2 linked regions of the Oryctolagus cuniculus genome follow. The protein of the gene in region 2 interacts with the protein of the main gene of each other region in a pairwise test. Links are inferred from orthologs where the notes say so. Each region holds a gene or a part of one and is shown on either strand. Other genes may lie near its edges.

What was found.
Region 1: the proteins of LATS2 (region 2) and MAP3K5 come close enough for resonance energy transfer, tested with the Homo sapiens proteins (2 studies listed by BioGRID, with this or other methods). The link is inferred for Oryctolagus cuniculus from reciprocal best matches to the Homo sapiens genes LATS2 and MAP3K5.

The regions. Positions count from the first base shown.
Region 1 is NC_091436.1:32,159,466-32,163,283, reverse strand, and holds part of MAP3K5 (mitogen-activated protein kinase kinase kinase 5), read right to left. Parts: intron 1,476-3,818; coding exon 1,282-1,475; intron 383-1,281; coding exon 214-382; intron 1-213. UniProt on the Homo sapiens protein: Serine/threonine kinase which acts as an essential component of the MAP kinase signal transduction pathway. Plays an important role in the cascades of cellular responses evoked by changes in the environment.
Region 2 is NC_091440.1:91,958,813-91,962,730, reverse strand, and holds the start of LATS2 (serine/threonine-protein kinase LATS2), read left to right. Parts: upstream 1-1,039; 5' UTR 1,040-1,246; coding exon 1,247-1,567; intron 1,568-3,918. UniProt on the Homo sapiens protein: Negative regulator of YAP1 in the Hippo signaling pathway that plays a pivotal role in organ size control and tumor suppression by restricting proliferation and promoting apoptosis.

The sequences.
Region 1 (3,818 bases), on a different chromosome or scaffold from region 2:
TTTTTTAAAGGGAAAAATCAGGCCTTTACCATGAAAGTTTTCCTCAATCACTGACAGTTAACTCACAGGAGTCTTCTTTCATCATAAAATCATGGGATGGAAAACTCATGAGAACCAATTAAAAAAAAAACTACATATGGTAACAGAAATTTGACATTTGCACTCCCTTCCAACATCCTACAGGACAGATTTTACTGTTAAGTATCTTCTTACCTGGATATCTCTGTAGGAAAGTAACAGGTTGATCACAATATCTGCTGTCAAGACTTCAATATTATCTACTCGTTGCCGAATTCTTGCCAATTCAGCTGCCAATTCTTTACCAGTGTATAAATTTCGAGCTTTCCTGATATCGCTGAGTATAGATTCACGGAAATATTGGCTGTGGAGAAACCAAAACACATTCCAAAGATTTCAATAAAAATAGTAATTTTATAAGAAAATGAATGACATTTGTGTACTCATAGCTTTCAATTACTTAGTGTGAACAGAATGAATATCTCATAATCTGTCATTATTTAGAAATTTTGAAGTCCCTGTATTTCCTTTCATATTCTGTCTTGTTTCAAAAAGAGTTATAAGGAATACTATGTAAATGAATCTCCATGCATCGTACCACTTAAACCACAAAACCACATTTTTGATTGACTTTTCTGAGCAGGAATTGTTCTAAATCATATAACCTGTACTTTCTGACTCAGCATCATTTATGAACATAAACATTTGCTCTTAATCAACATCTGCCTCAGCAATTTTTGCAGAATTCTTGTCCTTATGCTGAAAAGTCCTTGGACCTTATTCTGATAAGGTTTCGGTATGTATTTTAGCTCTGACACTCCTATAAAGCAGTTAGTAGTCTTTATTCCTTCTGATACCAAGTTGTCCTGTGAGTAAAATAAACACAAGGCAACATGTGAACTATATGACATCTATGAGTATATTATCTGCTTGCAGGGGTGGGGAACCTTTTCTCTGCCAAGTGCCATTTGGATATTTATGACATCAAGCATGGGACAAACTAAATTATCAACTTAAAAATTAGCCTACCATAGATTTACTGAATTTCAAATCCCACCCATGATTGCCTTTGCAGGGCCAGACTAAATGATCTCACTGGCCTTATACAGACTGCCAGCGAGATATTCCCTACCCCGGAAGACAGTGTGCAACATTTATCCTGGTTCTTAGCTGTATATTGATTCCTGAGGATCATCTTCTATGGATAAGTAAAAGAAGTAGAACCATTCCTTATCATCACCAAATGGTGTTATTGCACATTACCTGGAACTTGCCTGTGCCACCTTCAAAAGTCGAATGAAACGATCCACAAGAGGTAAGCAGATGGGTCCGAGAAGCAGCTCCAAGTTGGGTTGCATGAGCTCAGTCAAGCCCTTCATGAGGCTGCTGTCACAGCAGTAGACCTTGTTGTGTGGTGTCACCATGTAAGGGACAAAGGTGTAGTTCCCAGTGCACATCTGTGGAGACAGCAGGCACCAGGAGGTAGGGAGCCAGCCTGAGGATACCACACGGACGAATCCCAGGCCCGACTCCAGTGACTCGTATTAAATAACACTTCTGAGTGCAAATATAGAAAAACCTCGCATTGTATGTATGATATATGAAAATAGAAATTTTCCCCAATTTCTTTAATTGCTTACTTCAAATAATTAGGACTTGGAAAGGAGGCAGAAACAAAGTGTGGAACAGTTTTTGTCACTCAATTAAATATTGATTCACCACCTTTCCTGGCTAAGGCACTATGATAGATGCTGTAGGAAAAATAGTTTAAAGCACAGCCTTTGGCCTTCAGGGAATTTAAAATGTACTCCGAGAAGCACAGCATAAACACAGGATACTAAGAGTTAACATTTAAAGGGCTTCCTACGTGACAGGCTGTGTTGTGAGGGAGACAGGAATGAAGCTGCTCCTCTCCAGGCTGCTGGTTCAGTCTGAGGTTCCATGAGTCCCCGGTTATTACCCAGAGACCCAGAAACTATCCTTGCTGCATCCATTTCCTTCCTGCCCCATATCCCACCAAAATCCTATCTATTGTGTCTTCAAAACAAATCTCCTGTTTGCTCACTTGCCTCCATCTTCCGTGTCAGCTCTTTCGTCCCTGCACCAGCTCACTGGGTACGAAGTCACTGTAATTGGTGGCCCTGCTTCCTTCCTTGCCTTTCAATCCATTCTGTACCCCGCTGGCAGCGAGCTGTAACACTCCATAGGTCCTGAGCACTCGTGCAGCTGCTGAGAGCCCCACCATGTGCTATTCAGGCTGACGATGAAACACTGCAGTGTGGTCCACAAGGGCCTGAATAGCCACATCCTGCTACCCTCTAACCTTAGCTCAGGCCTCTCTCCTCTCACTCATTCCACCCCAGGCTCACTGACCTTCTTTGGCTCCCAGATGATGCCAAGTGAGGGTGTGGCAACACCAACAAAAGCAAAGCTGGCAAGAAGAAAAAGGGAGTTGGCCTAGACATGCCAGAGTAAGCAAATCTGAGCAAAGCCTGGGGCTCAAGGAAGGGAAGTGCACGCAAAGAGCAGGATTCAGAACTGCACAAGGGGTCTTCAACAATGCATGGAAAATGTATTTCAAGAAAAAAACAACACATGGATTTCAAAATCTTTCACACCAAACTGCTTTCCACTCTGCTCCCCAAACTTTCTGAAGTACCCTCGTGTATGCTGGGCAGTGGAGAATCATAGAAAGACCAAGATCTTCTGTATATAAAGATAATTGAAAATGAATCCTAAAAAAGAAAAAAAAAAAGAAAATGAATCCTGATGAAGAATGGGATTGGAGAGGGAGTGGTAGATGGGATGGTTGCAAGTGGGAAGGAGGTTATGGGAGAAAAAGCCGCAACAATTCCAAAGTTGTACTTTGTAAATTTATATTTATTAAATAAAAAAAAGAAATTAGAATTGAGTCTGAGTGGATCATGGGACGCACCCCAGGACAAAAAAAAGAAGAATTTGAGGAAATTCAACAGGAAGCTACAAAGCATGACCAGATTGGCAGCAGTGGCAAGAGCAAAACAGGCACATGTGCTCCCACCCCAAAGGAAGCCTCACTGGCCCACTTCCAGGTCTGGACAAAGTGAAAGGAGGGGTCAAAGGTGATTCCACAGTCTCAGCTGGGGCTATCTCAAAAGACTGGCATCTTTCACAGAAAGCCAGTACAGTCAGACTACATCATTTATGAACATAGTGCACTTTGAGGCACTTACTATACATCAGGTCATGAATCACAAACAGAATCTGGCTTCCCATTAAACTATGAGGAAAACTTGAGAAGACTGACATTTGATTTGGTGTAGGATGAGATGAAATGGCGCTGAGAGAGGTTGAGATTTAAAGGATCAAGAGTTTGAGATTTAATATCATAACATCCAAAAGAAGAGTTGACTCAGAGGAAATGGGAGAGACCCATAAGAGATAAACCATATGCAAAGGTAAAAACCAAGGGTTACAAACAAGAACAAGATATGTGGAAGACCCTACTCTCACTGTTATGGGATCACAAGGAATCCAGGGCATGGGTTCGCAGTCATTTCGGCATACGATCAACCTGAGAATAGTTCTCTTCCCCTTGGCACTAAATGAGTAAGAGCAAACATTCACTTACCACTCCCATGTACCATGGTACAGACGGTCACACATTCACCATGACCCTCTGAAGAAGGTGCGCTTGTCTCCACTTACAGGTGAGGCGTGGAGAGGATATGCAACTGGTCCATGATTGCTTGGGGACCCTAGCCCAGGCACTCTTTGCTTAGAGGGTATGTCACTTTTACCAGTGGGTTATGCATCCTCTC
Region 2 (3,918 bases):
GAACTTCCTCCAGGTCTCCCACATGGGTGCAGGGGCCCAAGGACTTGGGCCATCTTCTACTGCTTTCCCAGGCCACAGCAGAGAGCTGGATCGGAAGTGAAGCAGCCAGGGCTCGAACCGGCACCCATATGGGATGCTGGCACTGCAGGCGGCAGCTTTACACAGTATGCCACAGTGCTGGCCCCACAAAAGGCACTTGTAAATGGCAGCCAGATCAAGAGCTGTGTCATCACCATGACCCCAGAAGCCCCAGCCACTTGCAGACCAACACCTCAAGGATTAACAACCCAGTTTTTGAGTGGCAGAGTCATTTGTGTTAATGTGGTCACAGTGACTCTGACAGAGACATCACTCACAGGCTTCCCACATTTGTTTCAGTTTCTACAGGAAAGATATTTTTATTTTACTGTTTACATCAAAATGCTGGCAAGTGGCCACCTTGTAAAAAATCATGGAAGTGTTACCTTCACAGTCTCCTAATGTGTCGTGTGGAAAGTGCTTTTGATTGCAATAGAGAGCACCTTCAGTGTGACAAGTTCTGTGGCACCTTTCAGGGAGACTGGGAGGGTTTTATAAGGGCCACAGCCTTACATGGGTGGAGAGGTTAGTAGAGGCACTGGATGAAGGACTAAGGCAGGGACCAGTGAATTGGTGATTAGGAACAAGCTGGAGAGCCAGGATCCCTTGTAGAACATTTAAGCCGAACCACTCAAGCCGTGGATTTCAAAATGAGGTCATATCATAATGAATTGTTTTCAATGACCTGTCAGTTGTTAATACTGCTGTTCTTGCCCTTGATGGAGGCTTACTATTCACAGACTCCAAATCACAGGAGACACCGTGGGACAGCCCTGGATGTCATGTGTGCTCGAACCAGAAATGAACAGCATTTTTGTCATATCTGGCGTGCAGTTGCTTCTTTCTTATTTTTCTAAGTGGAGTGTTTCCAAGATCAGGGTTCATTTTGTGAAACATAGCGTTGCCATGATGTGAAAACCACAAATGAACATGTTTCTCCCATCCGTTCTGTTTTTCAGAGAGTGAGACTTCGCCATGGAGACTCTGGGACATTTAGGTTCTCTCTAGGAACTACAAAGTTGAAGGAAAGCAAATTTTCAAAAGGAAGTTGTCTTGAAAATATGTTTACAACTGACTGATGCTATTGACGGCTTTTTATTGTTTTATTTTTAAATAATAAAACACTTTAAGAAGATTATATTTATGGTAAAAGGAAACTGGACTAACAATGAGGCCAAAGACTTTTCCTGCCACGACTTATTCTGGAAATAGCCGACAGCGACTGCAGGAGATCCGCGAGGGGCTGAAGCAGCCGCCCAAGCCTTCCACTCAGGGGTTGCCCGTGGGACCAAACAGTGATGCTTCCCTGGGGAGCAAGGATGCCGCCAGGCAGCAGCAGAGAGCCACCCCGAAGTTTGGACCTTATCAGAAAGCTCTGCGGGAAATCAGATACTCCTTGTTGCCTTTTGCTAACGAATCCGGCACCTCCACAGTGGCGGAAGTTAACCGGCAGATGCTGCAGGAGCTGGTGAATGCAGGGTGTGACCAGGTGGGTGCAGAGCTGGTGACTGCTCATCCGGGGGTTTGTGCGTGTGCCCTTGAACTGCTCCGTTCCTTCTGCCTAAAACATCTTTTCTAGCTGCCTTTCCTTTTCAGGCAAGATCCAGAAGTTTCTGGGCTCTCCTGAAGTCTCCCTCCCCCATTCTATTCTTGTGCAGATGAGAAGGGCTTTCACACTTCACCCTTTCTTTGGGATTTATTTGGGGTTGTTCTGAGGCAGGCTTTGTCTTGTCTTTGGCTTGTGTATTTTTTATGTAGTTAAGGGGAGGTTTGATTGACATGCATTGGCAATTCTCTGACGCTGTTTTTCTCTCTCTCTCTCTTTTTTTTTTTTTTTTAAGATTTATTTATTTATTTGAAAAAGTTACACAGAGAGAGAGAGAGGACTTCCATCAGATGGTTCATTCCGCAACTGGCCGCAATGGCCGGAACTGTGCCGATCCGAAGCCAGGAGCCAGGAGCTTCCTCCGGGTCTCCCACATGGGTGCAGGGGCCCAATGACTTGGGCCATGTTCCACTGCTTTCCCAGGCCACAGCAGAGAGCCAGATCATTCATGGAGCAGATGGGTCTTGAACTGGCGCCCATGTGGGATACTGGCGCTTCTGGCCAGGGCGTTAACCCGCTGCACCACAGTGCTGGCCCCTGTTTTCTCTTGTTTTCAAAAAAATTGTGTATGTTGTTACAGGAGATGTAATTACATTCATGAGATGAGAAAGAAAAAGCCGAAGGAGCCATGGAAATATGGTCTGATTTCCCTGTTGCTTAGGAATAAAGGGGTACATTAGGGGAAGTGGCACCAATAATGTATAAATACACAATTTATAACTCTACATTTGTACCCCTTAGCAATTCACATAGCTGAAAAGAATCCAGATTAAGGGACTAGGCTCTCTAAAGTGGAGCTAAAATGTAATTGTGTTATGAAATGACTTAGGAAAGCCAGTTCCATCTCTCATCTCAGAACTCACAGTTGTATGAAAGGGAAGTAAGCCAAGTTTTTCTGTTGTCTTAGAAAATCAGCAAGAGTCTGTGCTCAGAGCTCTTCAGGATGGGGTGAGCACATTCAGTTCCTCAGAAGGAAGCTGGCATCGCAGTCCTGGGAAAAGGCTGGCACTGTCATCTCTTATTTCCAAAACAAAGCCCAGGCCTCCTATTGTAGTTTCTCATCATAGCATCTCACTGGGGATTGATGTGTTTGTGAAACGCATCCTTGCTCTTTTGCAGGGGGCTTCTTTGGCCCTGTGAGCTGTGCCAGGATTCACTTGCGAGTGTTGTTAGTTGGAGTTGCTTTTCTCAGGCACAGGCTGCAGACAGTGCTGGCTGCGAGACCACGTGCCACCTCCTGGCAGGACAGGTGTTAAGAGTAGGGAAGGAGCAGGCCTGGGAGACCCCGGACGTTCAGGCCAATGGCAAAGCTTTAAATCTTCTATAAATTACTTGCTGACCAAAGAGGCCATTGAGCCCCATGCCCTTGGCGTTTGTGTTTCAGCCGTGAGGAAGAGGAACAAGTTGAGCAAATAGTCCACGGTGATGTTGGTGGCATCTTAGTAGGGTCAAATCCATCAGCGATAATTACCGCCCATGAAATAATGAAGCCTTGCTGAGCCCCGTCAACATTTCACGTGTGTTACTTGGCAGCACAGAGAGCTCCATGTACCACAGTTATGCTTCGGAAGTGACTCTGTCTTTTGTGTGGAGTGCTGCTTTGTCGCCTACAACAGCTGCGCCTCCTTCCTTCCCTCCAACTCTGGCTGCTTCTGCCCTGGATAAAAGGTGCATTTGCTTTCAGAAATTTCCCACAGGAAAGTCATTGTGAGAGAGAGCAGAGATCAGCTGTGCCGCTAGAGCTGCACATGTCTGGATAAAGCAGGTTATTAGGTGCCAGGATACTGGGGGAAGAGAATCCTAGCCTAGCATCTTTCCCCTTTGTCTCCTATTGTGTTGCCTTTTAACTGAGTTGCAGTTTTGTTCTCCTGTACTTTGAGCTTCGGTGCTATCTTTAACGCCGGTTTTCATCAGAATGGCCGTAAATGCCCTGTTCGTACAGGGTCTTAGATACATGCATTTTATGCAGTTTTATTGATTGCATGTATACACACGTGCATTTATTTCATTTGATTCAGACCAAGACTTATTAAATGTCTATTTGATTTGAGTGTTTGTAAACATCTTTCTCTTCAGATATTTCCTTAAAGTAAAACTTACATTTAAAACAGGTATGGGTCTCCTCCGCCTGTGGTGCCAGCACACCGGGTTCTAGTCCCAGTCGGGGGCGCCAGATTCTGTCCCGGTTGCCCCTCTTCCAGGCCAGCTCTCTACTGTGGCCCAGGAGTGCAGTG